Arabidopsis thaliana: one gene and its partners. The protein of the gene in region 2 purifies or fractionates together with the protein of the main gene of each other region. This does not show direct contact. Each region holds a gene or a part of one and is shown on either strand. Other genes may lie near its edges.

Region 1 (5,004 bases), on a different chromosome or scaffold from region 2:
GAAATTAAAAAATTATTGATTAATTCTAATTTGAAGCTACTAATTGTAAAACAAAAAAAAAATACAATAATTATGGAAATTTTACAATTAATTATTAGTTACAGAAGGAAAAAGTTTTTTGTCGTGGTTAGGGGATTGTCGGTTCTGTTGATTTGAGATAGTGTGGCGATTTTGTTTTCTTTAAAAAACCAAAATTTAGGTCAAATTCGATTCTTTCGTTTCTCTCGATATAATCTGATTTTGATTTGAATGTTTCTTGTTGTTGAAGAATGTCCACCTCGACGTTGCAATCGGAGCAAAGTATGGAAATCATTACCCCACCTGCAGATATCGGAACTAGAACTCTGGTTGACAAAGCTGCCCAATTCGTCTCCAAAAAAGGGTTAGAATTTGAGACTAAGATCATTGACTCTTATCCTACTGATGCAAAATTCAACTTCTTGAGGAGCACGGCAGATCCTTGTCACACATATTACAAGCACAAGCTTGCTGAATACTCTTCTCAGAATCAAGACGGAGCTACTGATGAATCAGACATCAAAATCTTTCACGCACCTCCAAATGTCACAACTACAGCTATTGTTGAGACAACATCATGTTTGGTTTCTCAATTCGGGTCGGAGTTTGAGATGATGGTTAAGGACTCTAATACAGATGATGCAAGATTTAACTTCCTGAAAAGCTCTGAAGATCCTTATAACGTATTGTACAAGCAAAAGCTTGATGAGTACTCATTAGATCCTCGCGACGCATATTACCAGCACAAGCTTGCTGAATCCATTTCTAAGTATCACCGTGAAGCTACACCAAAGTTGAGCCCTATCCTCCTCCTCAGTCTCAATTCAGTCTTCAGTCTCAAAGATTGGTCCTGCCTAATCTTTTACAGTTTAGACTTGTTAAAGAGATGACATTCGAGGAACTTGACACCGTTAAGGTCACAGCGCAGTTTGTGGCATGGTATGGGGATGATTTTAGAGGGTTTCTGATGGAAAGAGTGATGACGGAACCTCAGTTTGAGTTTATGAAGGCAACTGATTACAGGTTCTCTTTTTACAACGAGTTTGTTGTTGCGTATTCGCAAGTATTAAATCCACCCAAATATTTGAAAGATAAGCTGAGGGGTCGTGCTGCTTATACAGTAATAGGTCACTTGCTCATTACAATGTCAGAGGAGGAGATATCCTAATACTGCACGTCGTGGTCTGAGACAGAGAGATGGACAATGCTTGTGCAGGCTAGAACAAGCATGCATTTTATTCACTTAATATTGTTTGTTTCTAAAGCTTTGGACTTATAATCCTGATACAGTTATCAATTCCATAAATTTTACCAACATATGTCTAAAGCTGAGAGATACGTATCTTAGACTACATACTTGATTTGAAACAAACAAAGATATTCTTATTGTAAGACACTAATCAAAATGTAAATTAAGAAATGGTACAAAGTAGTAAGTATTATTTTAAGATCCATAGAGAAACTGTCTACAACTTAGAAGAAGGTTTCTTGGATCCACGTCCGGCTATAAACTCCTGCATCTTTCTAAACTGTTCCTTCGTCATCCCACTGTAATACGCGTGAGCTCGCTCCTACGATTTCAACAACAGTTTTAGACTTTCTCACAATCACAAATTGATCAACAAGTTAAAAATGGCAGAATGTTTAACCTTTTCTAGTGTGAGAGCATGCCCAAGATCAAGCTTAAGTCCATCATTGATAACGGATTTAATCCTCAGAACCATGCCTTGTTCATTCTTGATTATAGCCTCTGCGATTTCTCTAGCTTTCTTTAACGCTTCTCCTTCTTCAACCACATGGTTTACAAACCCTAACTTCCCAGCCACGTCTGCTGTCAGTGGCATCGATGTTAAAGAAACTTCTCGAGCTTTGTTTGCTCCGATGATCCTCGACAGCTTCTGAGACAAACCCCATGAAGGAAATATCCCAAACCTTCAAACACAAAACAGAGGATTCACATTCATATCATCAAAAACATTCATCTCAAGGCAACAAAATTTTGAGAGCATAAACAAATGAGATTGAATTTTAAGATGTTGAATTGAGTAGAGCTTGAAACAACATGATTTTCTATGATCCAAAGCTAAAATCTGCAACTATATTTGACCTAATTGCTAGATACCAGTGCTATTGATAACTATGCAAACGACGTCGTAAGAGAAGAAATCAACCTGGCGTGAGTATCCATGAACTTAGCTCCTCTAGAAGCGACCAAAATATCACAGGCCAAGGCGAGTTCAAACCCGGCGGTGATGGCAAAACCGTTAATAGCTCCGATGATCGGTTTACGTAACCGCTCCATCTGCACAACCGGGTCGGTTTCCGGATCCTTCACGTCTCCTTTGAAAACAGACTCCGCCGCAGTCAAATCAACGCCAGAGCAGAAAGATCGACCTGATCCGGTGAAAATCACGACCTGGACCGATTCGTCGGAGTCCATATCCTTGAATGCCTTGGCGAGATCAACCATCATCGCTCTCGTGAGTGAATTGAGAGATTTCGGACGGTTGATTGTGATGACGGCGATCCCGCCTGATTCTTTCTTCACCTGAATGAGATTTTCCGATACTGTTTGATCCATTTTTCGACGATTCCGATTACAATTGAACGGATTTCGAATTTTCCGATCGGGTTTTTAAATAGAGTCAATCAGGAAGAGATGACGAAGAACTTGGGTAAGTGTGCCATTGTTTTGTCGTTGTTAGTAAACAACGTCCCGTTTTTTGCTTCTATTTTAGACGCTGCGTATTTTGTTTCTCAAACATGAAAACGGCAAGTGGAGAAAGTACAAACACAAACCATGAGTAAACCGGATCGAACCGGTCTGATTTCTGTTCATCTGTTAATAAATGGTTTTGTTAAAAAACTTTTATGCACCATTTGCATAATAGACTCGTTAATTTTTTTTTATTTTTTTTTTTGTGTGCACAGACTCGTTAATGTGTTTTAAAAAACAATCTTCTGTTAAAGTATAAGGTTCACCACAAAACGTTTGAGCTCTATACAATTACTAAAAATAGTTAGAGTAAGTTAAAAACGTCAATGATCTGATCTCAACTAGTGAAAGACACATCCACTTGGTACAAAACCTTGATCTGAAACTCCTTGAAACATTGCCCCATGAAAAGGAGAGAAGATGCTTCATTCATCATGCAATTATTTTTATAGAAGTAATTCGTTTCACCATTAATATGTTCACAATTGCAAATATTTATTTGTTTAATCTTTTAAAAGAAGGTCGGACCAAGATCAGTAATTTACTTTGCCGATGTCAACTTTTTAACCCGTTTGTTCTATTATCAGAAAAGTTGAGACCTTTCATAGCAAAAGTTCAAACTAAAGACATTGGGTTCAACCTCCTTTGGAGGATACCAGCTAACACCACTATCCGTTAATTTATCAAGCATTAGTTTTAATCACCATTATACGTTAGGTCAAAGATAACGAATTACAATCGTCTACCACGTCAACGGTTTGTATTACTTCTACAAGTAACCGATAGTGCATGTTTCATGGGAGCTTCTATTATTTAATAACACGTTTTATTGACTATTAATTACTATTATCATCATGAAACAATTAATGTGTATAGTCTTATCTTGATAACAAGTTGTTTTGTTAATTTAAAATCCACCTCTTGCTTCTTTTGTTGTTTACTACTCTATTTAATACTACTATCTATTAACATGTTACAAACAAACATATAGTATTGTATTTTTTTTCTTTTTTTTTTTTTTTTTTTTTGCTCAACATCAACTTTCATTTATCAAATGATTACATCCAATTGAAGGTACATAACATTCTCCTCTATCAAATTGGACCCAAATGCAATGGTTTGATCTAGTATCACGCTGAAACACTATCGGATCCAGCGCTACCTGATCGAGGAACCATTGCATTTTTAAACCACAATGAGATAGATAATACTCCACAAATCAGAATATTATCATCTCTTTGACCACCTACACAGACTCTAAGCGACACGAGAACAACTACTAAAACGGAAGAGACCAAAACCTAGTCTGAAGTACAAAGTAAATCCATACTATTAGTCCCTATTGATCAGAATGTAATCCATGTCCCAATAGCATTACCACCCGGAGACGCATCATCAGAAAGACTCAATATCCCCGGCTTTCGTTGTTCCGGTCCTAAACCAAAAGCGGACCATATATCCGACTGACCCGACCAATGATACAAGGCAAACCAGCAAGGCTAGAGCTTTTCCCGAGCTAACCAATCAACCGTAAGCTACTAATCGATTAAGGATAACACATTGGAGCCCGGATTAGTAAGACCTCACCTAAACGGTGCATTGCCGGAACGATCTCGCCGCACATGCCTTGTTGCCTCGCTCCATCGCCGGACTGGACCAGACATTGAGACGGTTCACTAGATCTCCGGATTATCTCGGCCACCGGCGACCACAGCTCCATCCCCACGCCTGGAAGACTCTGACTCTGCCTCTGTTCATCCGTCGGCTTGGTTCTCCTGGGGGATACAGGGATCGAAACAGCTGCTCGGAGCAGCTCCGAACCCCACCAGTCTCCTGGATAAGGATCGAGCCGAGAGCTCTCTCCTCTACCTACTGCCTCCGCATCGTCACACCGTCGTCGTTGAGCTTCACCTTAGCCTCCGGAGAAAGGAGCAAAGAGTCGACCTTATTTCTAAACTAATAGACAAGACAACGAAAAAGAAAAGGGGGGAAGCCCTCTCACACCGCCGGCAAAAGTCACAGGCGGCGGAGAGGCGGCGACGGCTCAGATCTAAGTTTTTTCTCAGAAAAAAGCTTTCGTAGGATATCCAACTTTAGTATTGTATTTTCTAGAGTCTAGACACAACATTTAATTTTTCACAAGCTTGTATATTGATCATCTTTTATTTTTTCCTTTGCTATTTTTATTATGTGGCTTGACTTTGAGTTTGGTGGGAAGTTGCATTCCAGTCTTGCGAGTAAAACATTAAGTTCTCTACTATCGCAAGAAC
Region 2 (6,052 bases):
CAACAATGAGTAGAGGAGCAAGACGGCGCCCTCATCAGCTAAAAACCTACATTGCCAGATTGCGTTATTACACAGTAGCATAGAAAGCATTGAATTAAGAATTTGATACAGGATGCATCTCTATCAATACAAAAATAAATTATTGTAGAGAAAAAGCTCAAGAAAATATAACTTACATGCCGAGAGTATCAAATAGTGAAGCAAATGGTATCCGAACATGTGGACCAGCAGGGTGGGCATTTCCCTCCACATCTGAGCGGTCAACTGCAATCAGAGTAATAGTTTAGATAAACACATCGAATTCTTCTTATTCAGAATAATGAAGAAAAAAAAATCTCACATTCAACATCTCTAGCATTTGCTAGAGCCTTGCTAAAAGTATTGTCAGAGGAAAATACATGGACTTTAGAAACTGATTCTGAGGTCGCACTGTCATCACTTTTATCCGTCATAGACTCATCACTCATGATAGACTTGTGATAGTTAATTAGGATAAGTAAAACATGCAGGCTGCACTCCGCTAGTGGATTTTTAGATCCGCCACTGTTACTTACAAGATAGTTCAAAGGCAAGAGCACTAAACTTGCTGTATATGCAACAGAAAAGTTTTCATGAGTACATGGACTGTTTCATGTAGCTAGTTAGGAAAACATAATTGAACGGAAAGTCGGAAAGGCAATAGAAAAAGATCAACATTTACAAGTTAGTACAATAATACATCATATATGAAGTAATATACGAACACCTACCAGCTGCAGAACCAACTCTCTCTAAAATGCCTTGTGAATCTCCATCAGAATACATATAGGATTTTGCATTTGGAGGAGTACGGTGTCGGGAAATATAATTAAGTAGCAACCTTCTGACTACTAGAGAAACTAGAGACTTTTCCTGAAAATCGTTGAACCAAAGGAAATGGCGGAAATTGATATGAGGTAATATCTATGCTAAAGACAAAGAAAAAAGTAATTAATTTGGTTACCTGAGTCATTGCTGCATCAATAAAAGGGTTCGCATCTGTTGGTCCATGTGAAGGTCCAGAGAGAAGCTGTGTCGACATTGTAACAAGCATGAAGTTGAGAAGTTCCTGATGTAGAACATACGAGTTGGGACTTGCCAAATAAATGATGAAAATCAGGAGAATGAAACATCTAATACTGAAACATATAAGGAATAGGTGATATAGAGAATCAGCATTGGCATACCTCACTTCATTTGATCCAATGAAGCTCAGAACACTATGCATGACAAAATTTTGGATGTCTTGATCTGCCATCAAAACACTCTTAATTAGCCAGCTTAGAAATACCTTAACGCTGGAAATAACTATTATGAGAGTCATTACCCATTACAAATCCATGTGGAACTGGTTCACTTTCGTCCAGAGAAAGATGCAACTCCTGAAGACTGTCACTTTTTCCATTCTCAATCAAATACTTTAAAAAGACGGATGAAATATATGTTGCATTAACAGCTTTCTTATAGAGAGAAGACTGATCATCTGAAGCTTGAAGAAGCTCTTGCAAACACCAGGACAGATGAATCAATAGTTTTGCAAGGTGCCTAGTGTAGCCATTACTTTGTGCTGAAACAAAAAAAGAAAATAAGATCATCCTCCTACTTTCACTAGGTCATCATCAACATTCAATTTCATTAGCTCAAAGTGAATTCGACAACACATCCTTTACAATTTCAACACTAACCGAAAAGTTCACAGGCTTGTTGAACCCGATCACTAGGCCAGCGAGAACTCAACGGAAGCTCAAGTAGCTTGTTCCAGAAATCAGACGCTAAAGGAAACGATTTCTCCCCAACAAAAGTGGCAATGAGGTACTCGGCCACCGAAACATCATCACCACCGGTTTTTCGCGGCGTTGAAGGCACACCTCCCATGTCTCCTAAGCCAAGCTCGCCGAGTCAACAAGGATCCAAAAGAGAACGAGTCAATTGATCGCGTCCACCGAGTCGGTTACGATGAAGAACAACGGCATTACAAAGCAAGAGATGAACAATGCAAAGATCTTGCTCTCAATTTGGTCTCTCTCGATCTAAATCTGAGATTAATTGAAGATTCAAACTGTTAAACCAAATGCTTCGATACCAAGGGTTTAGACTTTTGAGCAAAAAAAAAAAAGAGAGGACGCGTTATTTTATTTGTTTATTTATATTATAATCTTTTTCTTTTAATGTTGGAAAACTATTATTCCTGCGTAAGTTTATTTCCAAATTGATTTTTTGATACAAATAATTTAGCGACTAAATGTGACAATTTTTGATTATTCATTCCATCAGCACTTGTAATTAATGAAGTTAAATAAGTGTTTTCCTAATTTTGAAAAATACAGGCTACGTGCTACCAAATTAATTCCCACCAAACTCTCATAAATATGATTCGAATACTTTATGGGTTCTTACGTTTTCTCTTTTACAAGAGCTTATATAATATTTTCTGTATAGATTAACCTCAAACCAAATCTTGACTTTTTTTTTGAAGTTAACAGATGACTTGTTCTATTCTACTAGAGAAATGAAATTATTATTTACTAGTCTACGTGGAATAAAAACAGAGATAATGGATTTGGGATAATTCAAACGAAATGGAGTCAAATTGATGCTAGCTACTACCGTCTTTGAACCGTCGGTTGTCGGTGGAGTGGGATGTGGCCGAATCTTTTTTACTGTATTTACAAATTTGAGGCCCATTTATTTTCTTGGGCTTTTCATTTCTTCAATGATTCTAGAACTGAAATTGCTCAAGGTATTAGTTCAAACTTAATCGTTATTGGGCTTTTCCATATGTTCAATATTCTTAGTTATGTTTAATTAAAAATATATGCACAAGTGAGAGAACTCAAATGATGAACAAAAAGTAATAATATTTAGAGAAAAAACTAAAAGAGGAACAGAGCAGAAGTGGAAGTCTCTTGTCCCTCTGTAAACCCTAAAATAGAAAAGCAAATCACACTTGGGGGATTCATGTTCTTTGGCTTTCTTACAAACCTCTAGAAATAATGGCCGAGAAAGCAGGCAAGGCAACGAATGGTGGAGAAGCAGAGAAATCTCTAAAGGAAAAAGGAAATGAGTTCTTCAAAGCTGGCAACTTTCTTAAAGCCGCAGCTCTCTATACTCAAGCCATCAAGCTCGATCCTTCTAACGCTACTCTTTACAGGTTTCCTTTTACTTGTCTTCTACAGTCTTTCGAATCTGATTGTTGGGTTTCATTCTATTTGAGCTGATTTCTCAGAAAGATCTGATTTTGTTCTCTTGCGATATGTTTAGAAAATGAGATTGTTTAGGTGGAGACAAATTAGGCTTTTAACTTGAATAATAGTATTACAACATTTTTGTTATATTTGGGAAGATCAATTGTGATTTAGAATACTAAAAGTTGAGGTTTTTGGTTTTAAGGTTCTGTGAATTGGAACAGTGTTATGTGTTAATGTGAGTAGATTTTTAAAGTGTAATAAAGCTTTTTGTTTATCCGGTGCAGTAACCGAGCTGCTGCATTTTTGAGTCTAGTTAAGCTTAGCAAGGCCTTAGCAGATGCTGAGACTACCATTAAACTCAACCCTCAGTGGGAGAAGGTAAAATCAATACATGACAATGTTTTTTTGTGCTTTCGGTTTCATCATCAATAACATAAAGTATCTGTGTGTGTCTTTACGTAAACGATGGTTTTTCTGATCTATCTTCTTCAGGGGTACTTCAGGAAAGGTTGTGTGCTTGAAGCCATGGAAAAATACGAAGATGTATATGTTTCTCTTATTTTGGTTCCATCTAAATTTTTTCTATCACAAAGCTATTCCATGGTAGTTAAAACTGTGATGATTGTATCTCAGGCTTTGGCTGCATTTGAAATGGCTCTGCAGTACAACCCACAGAGCACAGAAGTTTCTAGAAAGATCAAGAGGCTCGGTCAGTTGCAGAAGGAGAAACAGAGAGCTCAAGAACTTGAGAATTTAAGATCTAATGTTGACATGGCCAAGCATCTTGAAAGTTTTAAATCTGAAATGGTTAGTCCTCTTTTTCTCTTCTTGTGAAATTCCAGAGAATCAGTCTAAGCCTTCCTCGTTGCTTATATTTGATTGTTCCAACTCAGATTCTGAATTTAACACATGCAGTCTGAAAACTATGGAACTGAAGAGTGTTGGAAAGAGATGTTTTCTTTTATTGTTGAGACTATGGAAACAGCTGTGAAGTCGTGGCACGAGACATCTAAAGTCGATACTAGAGTCTATTTCCTTCTTGACAAAGAGAAAACACAAACAGACAAGTACGCACCAGCTGTCAACATCGATAAGGTATTAAGGGCATCCAACTTGAATCTTATCAAAAATCTTTTTTTTGTCTGATAAAACTACTTTGTTTCCCTACTTCAGGCTTTTCAGTCTCCGGACACGCACAGTAACTGCTTTACGTATCTGAGGCAATACGCAGAAGAGTCATTTTCCAAGGCTGCTTGCTTAGTAACACCAAAGAGTAGTATATCCTACCCACAGGTGAATCAAATCTGTCTTTTTCTAAGCTTGTTCTTTCTGGTTTGTATATATGGACTGACGGTTAAACGATGTCTCACAGGTGTGGAAAGGTGTAGGCTCAAGGAAATGGAAACTCGGACCAAATGATGGAATCTTTGTTCAGTTTGAATCTCCCTCTCTTCGGAAAGTTTGGTTCATATCTAGCTCGAAAGAAAAGGGACAAACTTTGTGCAGGTTCTTTCTCTAAACCACTTATTATGTTTAGTTTTGCAATGTGCTTTAAGAATTTGATGAAGTACCCTTGACTTCACACAAGCTGTTGAATTTTCTTGGGTGTATTAAAGAATCAAACTTTTGCATCTAACTCAAGATTAAAAGAGTTGGAGTTTTGATTTCAGGGAACCGCAAGCTCTGGATATCGGCGCACATGAGATTCTCCCTCGCATTTTCAAGGAGAAATCGAAAAGCTCGTAGGGCATTGTTTTGTTGCAGTATGATTCTCTATATCCAGTTTTTGATCAAGACTAAAAAGATAAAAAAGAGTTCTTGCGAGTGTGTGCTACTTAGAAAATCCACCTTTTTGTTGTTTCTTATCTAATGATCAAACAAAACTTTGAACTTTTGAGTCAAAAGGCTATCTTCGAATCAAAATCTTTACTCGACCGGGCTAGGTTCAACATAGGTCTGAGTAGGTCTTAAATCGGACGGTGTTGCCTCCAAATCTGTACATGCCATCAACAAATCTGGGCCTCTTTGTAATGGGCCAATTTCTATAACGAGCTAAGCCTGTTAACAAGTTTCTTCGAACTTCTCTCTCTTGTATTTGTTTGAAGGAAATGCCCAATGAGACAAACACTAATTTTGATTTACCTCCATAAAGGTTTTACATAAGCATATATGGTAAATTGGTAATAAAAAAAAAATAAGAGAGCCACATCATCCTAATTTTACAAAACGCCCCTACAGCTGTGTAATAAAAAAAACAGGCGGGGACTTCAGGAGAGGGCTCTCTTTACTCTATTTTACATTTTTCCTTTTGTATATTTTTACAAATAAATCGATTTATTTATATATATCCTATTGAAAACCCCTAACGTGAGGCTTAAGCAACTGAGATGCATCTTCGGTGACCCACATTTCTTCTCATCTTCTGTCGTTTGGTCTCTTCTCTCCACACATTTCCAATGTCTTGAGCGATGTTAACGGCGTCTACTGATGCTCCAGCCAACCCTTTTCTCGTGAATCCGGCCGCGTATAATCCCGATTTCCCTTTCCACGCGTTTGGAAACGGCGATTTCGGAAACCCATTTTTCGAAAAGAACTCACTTTCCTGAAGCCAAGAAGGGACGTTGCTACGATAACCGGTGGCGAGAACCACAGCGTCGATATCTAGCTTCTGACCATCTACGAGCTCCACGTGGTGACGCGAGAACTGTTTGATTGCAGGTACAATTTCTACGTCGCCGGATTTTATCTTCTCCAGAGCACCGATGTCAAGAACCGGCGTCTTTCCTGTCATGCTTTTAAGCTCCATTGGGCCGATGTCAGGCCTTTTAAGCCCATAGTTTGATAAG
Region 3 (7,589 bases), 9.7 Mb from region 2:
TCATCATTCATAAATTTGATCTCTTTTTGCAGTTTCCAGTGGGGGCTCTAAAACAAAATACTTCAGGTGGAAATGTAGTCTCTGAACTGTTGGACAAATTGATGGTCCTATTTTTTCATCATCTAGAATCCTGTCAAAACTCTGATCGTTTGGATGAGGTATGGCACCAAATGGTACTTGTTCAACATATTTTTCCTTTCCTTTGTGGTAGATTCATTGATCTTTTGGTGTTTCTGTTTTTCATTTTGGCATAGGTATTTGAAATCCTCTTTAAGTCGTTCGAGAACTATATTCTGAACACATACAAAACAAAATTTTCACAGGTAGGCATCAAAGCTATCACCTTACATACTACAAAGTTTTCATTGTAGGCTTCTAGCATTAGTTCATTATCGGCATGTGATGTCTTGGCTTAGACTCACTCTACTTTCATCTGCAGTTTCTGATGTTCTATGCATGCTCACTAGATCCTGAAAATTGTGGTGTGAGATTTGCCAGTAAGCTGTTGGACATATATCTCTCCAGCAACACATGTCGACTTACTAGGCGAGTTTAATCTTGTCCTTCTTGGTAAAGATTTCTCTGCATGATATGAAGCTAATATTGTTCTAATCACCACTTGTGTATTCTTTTGTTTTCTCTTTATACTTAACAGGATGAGTGCAGTGGCTTATCTAGCTAGCTATTTGTCTCGTGGAAAGTTTTTGCCTGCTTCTTTTGTGGCTAGCATGTTGAAAAGGTACGTATTGCTAAAAAATGGAAAATGTAATTGTTTGATCTGATTTAAGTCTCGCTTTGTTGTAACATAGTTTCTCTTTTGCTGAAATCCTAGATTGGTGGACGAGTGTGCGGAATATTGCGGAACATGCAATGATGATGTGAAGCCAGAAGCACATCAAGTGTTCTATTCTGGATGTCAGGTATAGTCCAAGTTTAAGACCATCTTATGGCTTTTGATTCCTTAAGAACTCTTCTGTGAAATCATTGACGTCTCTAGTTATCAATCATTGTTAATGTTCACACCCTTACCAGAAGCTTATTGGCGTTTGGGATCATATGCTATTATGTCATGTATCGCTTAAAGTTGTTACTTTTCTATGACTGTAGGCAATCTTGTATGTGCTATGCTTCCGAATGAGATCCATAGTGGAGATTCCTCGCTTTCAATCGCAGTTTAGATCATTGGAGTCAATTTTATCTCACAAACTAAACCCACTACTGGTGGGTGACTTACACTAATCATTTTCTTCTCATAGCTCAACTGTTATTTTAAGTAGTCTTCACTCCAAGTATCAAATGCATTATGCTTGCACCATTCATTTTGTGTGAACAGGTGTGTCTTCCATCTGTAGTTTCCGAGTTCCTTAAACAAGCCAAAGCTGGTGGTCTGTTCATTGTCTCAGAATCCTTCATTTTCGATGACCTACACGAGTCTGAGCTCTCTCGTGCTTTTGGTGGCTTTGAAAGGCTTGACACATTCTTCCCGTTTGACCCGTGCTTGTTGAAAATGTCTAGCAGGTTTGCTATCTTTACTCTTGATTATTTTTTCTCTTCCAAAGTAAGGACAAATCAATGTGAGAATCTTACACAAGGTTCTTGACTCACTGGATGAATTTACCCGACCTGGGCATATTTGATACAAATTCTACTGCATACATCTTAATTACAGTCTTGAAATGACATTGAAAATTATTTTAATATGATAAAACAAGTGATGAATCAAAGTATTTGCATTGGATAGGCTTGAACTCTCTTTCTCACACGTGTTTTCTTGTCAATTCTTGAAGCTACATCTCCCCGAACTTCAACTTCTGGTCAATGGTGAAAACGACTTATGGAGAAGATGGTGACGAAGAGCTTTGTGATGAGGTCATAGTGAATGGAGATGCAGACAGTGCGGAGGAACCTGACGATGACGTTGAACTTGATAGTGAGATGAACACGATGTCTACAACTCCGAAACACTCTTTCATGCGAGAAACAGAGAGGCTCTTGAAGATGCCTTCAAGAATCAGACCATCCACTAGTCCTCCTGAATCCTTCTTAATCTAATAGTCATAGAGAGAGGGAATGCAATTTTGCAATGTAGGTTTCTTATTACAATCTCTTAGCTAGTGCGTAAACTCTAAAAAAAAGAAGTTGACATGAGTTTTGTGCGAGTCTGTGGTATTATCTGATCGCATGTGGTTTTGTAGCAAAATTTTGAAGAACATCTATGAAGTAAAATTTAGTCAGTTGGTTTATGATTACCTAATTTGAGTTTCGGTTTAATTTGGTTAAGTTGAAATGCTGAATGATTGATTTCTCGGTTTAGTGTTCAATATTGGGTTTACTTTGTCCACAAAATTGGTTAAAAATAGCTCTTTGTATTTTGGTAAATGTCCCGCAAATGGTTAAAAGTAAACCGGGAATTGACCCTCCGATTTAAACCGGTCCGTAAACCAGCTGAGCAATCTCTCTTTAACCTCGGCGTCGGCGTCTTGTAGCTTCTTCTGCTAGGCTTTGTTAATCAGCAAAAACCCTAGAATATCTTAGAGCTTCGCTTCACTTTCAAGCTCGAGACTTTGAGAAAGATGCCTCCGAAAGCCAAAGCTAAAGATGCAGGTCCCGTAGAGAGGCCTATTCTTGGCCGTTTCTCTTCTCACCTCAAGATCGGAATTGTAATTTTTCTCTTCATCTCTCTTTTAGAATCCAAGTTGATTAATTTCGAATGGTGAATGGTAGATTTGCTCATCGCAATACTTTCCTCGATAAAAGTTTTTTTTTTTTTTCTTCTTCTGAGTTTTGCCGGGAGAGATCTATTAACTCATCAGTGATGCATGATGATATTGTTTGTTTCGTTGTGTTTGTCACTGTACTCTTTTAGATGTTTAATCCATATTTAAGAAACTGCTTCTTTGATACAGTGATTAAGGTTGATTGTTCATGGTTGATATGATGATATGGAGAAGTATTGATGTTATTCACTATGGGAATTGTTTGTGGCATCGCAGGTTGGGTTACCAAATGTTGGAAAATCTACTCTTTTCAACACTCTTACAAAGCTTTCAATTCCAGCTGAGAATTTCCCCTTTTGTACCATTGAGCCTAATGAGGCACGTGTGAATATCCCCGATGAGAGGTTCGATTGGCTTTGCCAAACTTACAAGCCTAAGAGTGAGGTAAGTTTGTAACTTTATTTCATGACTTGCTGTTAAGGAAGAGATTACTACTATCTGAATTACTTTATGAATGGGCTGACTTCTGTCTGTTTTGATGCCTCAGATTCCAGCTTTCTTGGAAATTCATGACATTGCTGGGCTTGTTAGAGGAGCTCATGAAGGACAGGGTCTTGGAAACAACTTCTTGTCCCATATTCGTGCAGTTGATGGAATTTTCCATGTTTTACGTATGGTTTTTCCCTCTCGCTTTTTCTCCTAGTGCCAGCTTTGTTTTAGTGTGATGCGTGATTTGATGAATAATTTAGACTGTACTGCTACTTGTGCTGTCTTGAATTTCTACTTGAGCAGGCTTTTCAATGAGAGACAGGTTAAAAACCTTTATATATTTTTCTTCCCATTTGATACCTATAGGGCCATTGCGATAGTTAGTTTATGTTTTCCTCTCCAAGCATATCTGTTCTTGAACAACGGGGATGTTTCTTTAATAGTTGCTGATAGTAAGATATCTTGCCAGTTATATAGTGGTTAGTGACTTTTCGATTGAACATATGCAGGTGCTTTTGAAGATGCTGATATTATCCATGTCGACGATATCGTGGATCCTGTTAGAGATTTGGAGACCATTACTGAAGAGTTGCGGCTAAAGGTGAATCAAATCTCTAAACAGATATTTGACTGCTATATCTCCAAACTCGTGAAATCCTTTCTGTGTATATTAATACAGTAGTCTGTTTTTTGTATTAGTTGGATCTTCATTTCATCCATTGTTGTTTTGGTTTCAAACTGAATTCTTTGGTGCAACTTTAGGATATTGAATTTGTTGGAAAGAAGATTGATGATGTCGAGAAGAGCATGAAGAGGAGCAATGACAAGCAGCTGAAAATAGAACTTGAGCTCTTGCAAAAGGTATGCTATAATTTGACAACCATGCAGTCTTGTTCTGCAAATGTTATTGCTCATTAATTATTAATTGGCCGAAAAAATGACTGTACCTCTCTGGTTTAGGTAAAAGCTTGGCTAGAAGATGGTAAGGATGTCCGTTTTGGGGACTGGAAAACAGCTGATATCGAGATTTTGAACACTTTCCAATTGCTTTCTGCAAAGCCCGTTGTTTACTTGGTGAGTAGTCTTGAATGTTCATCTCTTTCTGTTACCATTGTTTCTATCAAGATAAATGCATTTGCTTCTTTCATATCTATAGTCGACAATTTTGTTCCCTCAATTTTTTTCGGGTCAGTTTGCAAAATGTAGGTCATACTGTCTATTTTTGTGACACTATTTGCCCCCAAATTTAACCATAGTGTGTTCCTTAGCTATTTCTGATCTCTATGCTTTCATGTTTGTTTCAACTATGTGTTTCATCTCAGTGTAAGAACTATTAAGGCATCTTGGTTGGACTTTTTGTGATCACTGGTTACTCTGAAATTTAAATTACAGATTAACCTGAATGAGAGAGACTATCAGAGGAAGAAAAACAAGTTCTTGCCAAAGATTCATGCCTGGTACTAATATATATCCTTTCACAAACTATGTTGAATAATAAGTAAAACATTTTGCCCCTTGGTTGTTGCAAAAGTTTCTAATATGGCTACGTGCTTACACATTTACTTACCTTATTATACTTCTCCTAAACTAAAAATATCTGTTTCATCATTATGTAGGGTTCAAGAACACGGTGGTGATACTATGATTCCTTTCAGTGGTGTGTTTGAAAGGAGTCTCGCTGATATGGCCCCAGATGAAGCAGCAAAGTATTGTGAGGAGAACAAACTGCAAAGGTTAGGAATAAAAGAACAGCACCTTGCGAATGAATAGTTGCTCCTGAAGATGATTTTTCTTTATGAATCTGTTAAATTGAATCTTATGGCCATTGCTGCTTTGACAGTGCTCTTCCGAGGATCATCAAAACTGGATTTTCAGCAATTAACCTCATATACTTCTTTACAGCAGGGCCTGATGAGGTATTAACAGTCCCACTTTACTTGGCTTCACTACACGCTTTAGTCTCTAGTTCTCTGTGAAATTCTTCTAAGCATAATTGTTCTGTAATGAGCTATTTGGTAGTGCATGATCAGTGTTATGTGTCAAGTAGTGCATTGTTACTGGAATTTGATGGTTTATAAAATACATCCATCAATGATACTTTGATTTGCAGGTGAAGTGCTGGCAAATAAGACGGCAGTCAAAGGCTCCTCAAGCTGCAGGGGCCATTCATACTGATTTTGAGAGAGGATTTATTTGTGCTGAGGTACCATTTTCTCATTTCTCTTGAATCTTGGTCAATTCACTAGTTTATTCCTACCTAAAATTTACATGCGTAAAGCCTTTCCCCTCCAGATTTTGATGATTTGTTCTGTTATAGAGTTTATATAATCTTTCTTATGTTTTCACTGACAAAAACAAATGCTTGCTTGCATATTCTTATATTCATCTTGGTGTTGATTTCCTAGTATCGATGCAGGCCTGTAGATATCAAAGCAGAATCCTAATGCAAACCATATCTAATCAAATATTTTTCTGTTTTGAAATTCAATGTGATTTATTCCAATGTTGTTGTTGATGTCACAGGTCATGAAATTCGAGGATCTCAAGGAACTTGGCAATGAACCTGCAGTCAAGGTATTTGTCTATAACTTCTTTTCCTTCTACAATCTCTTAAGGTCTCGGTGGAGTAAGTAGCCTCTAAAAACAGACATGAAAATGTTAAGGAAGCTCTCCACTGTGCAAGATATCCTCGTTGAAGAGGCATGATTATATTTATAATGTTCATGGCGATGACACTTGGTCTAATTTATAATCCCTTCAACTAATGCAGGCCGCAGGAAAATACAGACAGGAGGGTAAAACATATGTTGTTCAGGATGGAGATATCATTTTCTTCAAGTTCAATGTTTCCGGTGGTGGGAAGAAATGAGATCCATCCGTCTGTCCACCTATCCGCGGTGTCCTCTCTGGATCTTGAAGCTCTATCCATTTCCGAGAAAGGAACCAAGCTGTATTTTCCGTTTTTGAGTGGCTTTACCAAACAAGTATTTGTAACTCTTTACATTTTGCAGTTAGCTAAGACATGTCTTTGCCTTTAGACAGAGCATTAAGCCTGCTGTATCGTTTAGAACTCTTTCAATAAGTTTTTCTCTACTATTTGGAAAGAACCTTGAGTAATTGTGCGTGAGAATGAGTTGAAGAAACCCAGCAAACAACTTCTGGTGCACTTATTAGCGAAGGAAACAAATGGAAAGAATGATTAAACGAATACCTTAAGGAAATTATATTTGCAGTGTATATTACAAGCTCTATTACAAAAGAGCTTCTGGATAGATCACAATCAATTATAACAAAAGAACAAAAGAATTATTTTGGGACTGGCCAATCCAATTGCTTCCTCTAAGCCGAATTGTGAAGAGCAGATCCTGTTTGGCTCTGCTCAGTTTCTGAGGAATCTTGATTGGAACAAGCTGGAAGAGTAAAGCTCTCTGGTGCTTCTTCTACCGCTTGGCTGCTCGAAAACGAGTTTTCTCCATTCTGTTTGCGAAGCCAAGCTTCATGAATCTGCAAAACATACTCCAAGCTCCATAACACTTCTCCCATCATTGGCCTGTTCTTCCCTTCATCCGCTAAGCACTTCTCTGCTATCTCCCCATACTTCTCCAACGATTCAGGACTGTAGTTTCCCCTCAGATTTGAGTCGATGATGGACTCGAGGTTTCTCTGTTTTTGCCAGCTTAAAGCCCATTCCGCAAGGTTGATCTGGTCTTTAGGCAAAGTTGGGTTTATAACAGCTCGAGCACAAACAGCTTCGAACAACACAACACCAAAAGAGTAAACATCTGACTTCTCTGTTAACTGTTGCCTTCTAAAGTATTCAGGATCAAGATAACCAAAACTTCCTTTCACAGCTGTACTCACATGAGTATGGTCCATGGACGGTCCAGCTTTCGACAGCCCAAAATCAGACATCTTTGCCACAAAGTTCTCGTCTAATAGTATGTTTGTTGTTTTGACATCTCTGTGAATGATTCCTCTCTCTGACCCTGTGTGAAGGTAATGCAATCCTCTCGCAGAGCCTATACAAGCTTCAAGCCGTTGCTTCCATGATAATGGCGGAAGGTTGCTTCCAAAGAGATGACTCCTGAGAGTTCCATTTGCCATGTATTCATAAACCAAGATCATCTCATTGTGCTCATCGCAGAACCCGATCAAAGACACAAGATGCCTATGCCTAAGTCTTGAGAGCATCACGATCTCGGTTTCGAATTCAGCAAGCCCTTGCTGAGAATGTGGGGTGGCTCGTTTTATAGCTATGAGTGTTCCATCTTCAAGCTCTCCTCTGTAAACCTTACCAAACCCTCCAACTCCAATAGCTAAACCATCATCAAAGTTCTTAGTTGCTGCACGAATCTCGGCTAGTGTAAACTTCCTTCCCATTGT

What was found.
Region 1: the proteins of TPR3 (region 2) and ECHIA fractionate together in Arabidopsis thaliana (co-fractionation; one large-scale study listed by BioGRID). This does not show direct contact.
Region 3: the proteins of TPR3 (region 2) and AT1G30580 fractionate together in Arabidopsis thaliana (co-fractionation; one large-scale study listed by BioGRID). This does not show direct contact.

Annotation. Positions count from the first base shown.
Region 1 is NC_003075.7:9,175,380-9,180,383, forward strand, and holds ECHIA (enoyl-CoA hydratase/isomerase A), read right to left. Parts: upstream 2,761-5,004; 5' UTR 2,600-2,760; coding exon 2,190-2,599; intron 1,951-2,189; coding exon 1,668-1,950; intron 1,590-1,667; coding exon 1,485-1,589; 3' UTR 1,187-1,484; downstream 1-1,186. Other genes in the region: AT4G16200 (SWAP (Suppressor-of-White-APricot)/surp domain-containing protein), read left to right, coding at 270-811, 862-1,186; AT4G16215 (uncharacterized protein), read right to left, coding at 3,865-4,013, 4,113-4,197, 4,317-4,454. UniProt on the Arabidopsis thaliana protein: Straight-chain enoyl-CoA thioesters from C4 up to at least C16 are processed, although with decreasing catalytic rate.
Region 2 is NC_003070.9:1,105,517-1,111,568, reverse strand, and holds TPR3 (Tetratricopeptide repeat (TPR)-like superfamily protein), read left to right. Parts: upstream 1-2,843; 5' UTR 2,844-3,011; coding exon 3,012-3,169; intron 3,170-3,490; coding exon 3,491-3,584; intron 3,585-3,698; coding exon 3,699-3,749; intron 3,750-3,839; coding exon 3,840-4,013; intron 4,014-4,121; coding exon 4,122-4,301; intron 4,302-4,379; coding exon 4,380-4,499; intron 4,500-4,578; coding exon 4,579-4,712; intron 4,713-4,876; coding exon 4,877-4,952; 3' UTR 4,953-5,215; downstream 5,216-6,052. Other genes in the region: AT1G04200 (dyggve-melchior-clausen syndrome protein), read right to left, coding at 1-46, 177-264, 341-586, 750-891, 983-1,112, 1,206-1,269, 1,346-1,585, 1,704-1,893; YUC9 (YUCCA 9), read right to left, coding at 5,581-6,052.
Region 3 is NC_003070.9:10,830,439-10,838,027, reverse strand, and holds AT1G30580 (GTP binding protein), read left to right. Parts: upstream 1-2,392; 5' UTR 2,393-2,573; coding exon 2,574-2,660; intron 2,661-2,993; coding exon 2,994-3,161; intron 3,162-3,264; coding exon 3,265-3,388; intron 3,389-3,715; coding exon 3,716-3,807; intron 3,808-3,968; coding exon 3,969-4,067; intron 4,068-4,166; coding exon 4,167-4,280; intron 4,281-4,598; coding exon 4,599-4,663; intron 4,664-4,822; coding exon 4,823-4,939; intron 4,940-5,046; coding exon 5,047-5,122; intron 5,123-5,316; coding exon 5,317-5,409; intron 5,410-5,729; coding exon 5,730-5,780; intron 5,781-5,976; coding exon 5,977-6,075; 3' UTR 6,076-6,355; downstream 6,356-7,589. Other genes in the region: AT1G30590 (RNA polymerase I specific transcription initiation factor RRN3 protein), read left to right, coding at 33-158, 255-323, 440-546, 656-739, 833-920, 1,108-1,221, 1,334-1,518, 1,788-2,052; HERK2 (hercules receptor kinase 2), read right to left, coding at 6,546-7,589. UniProt on the Arabidopsis thaliana protein: Hydrolyzes ATP, and can also hydrolyze GTP with lower efficiency. Has lower affinity for GTP. Exhibits GTPase activity.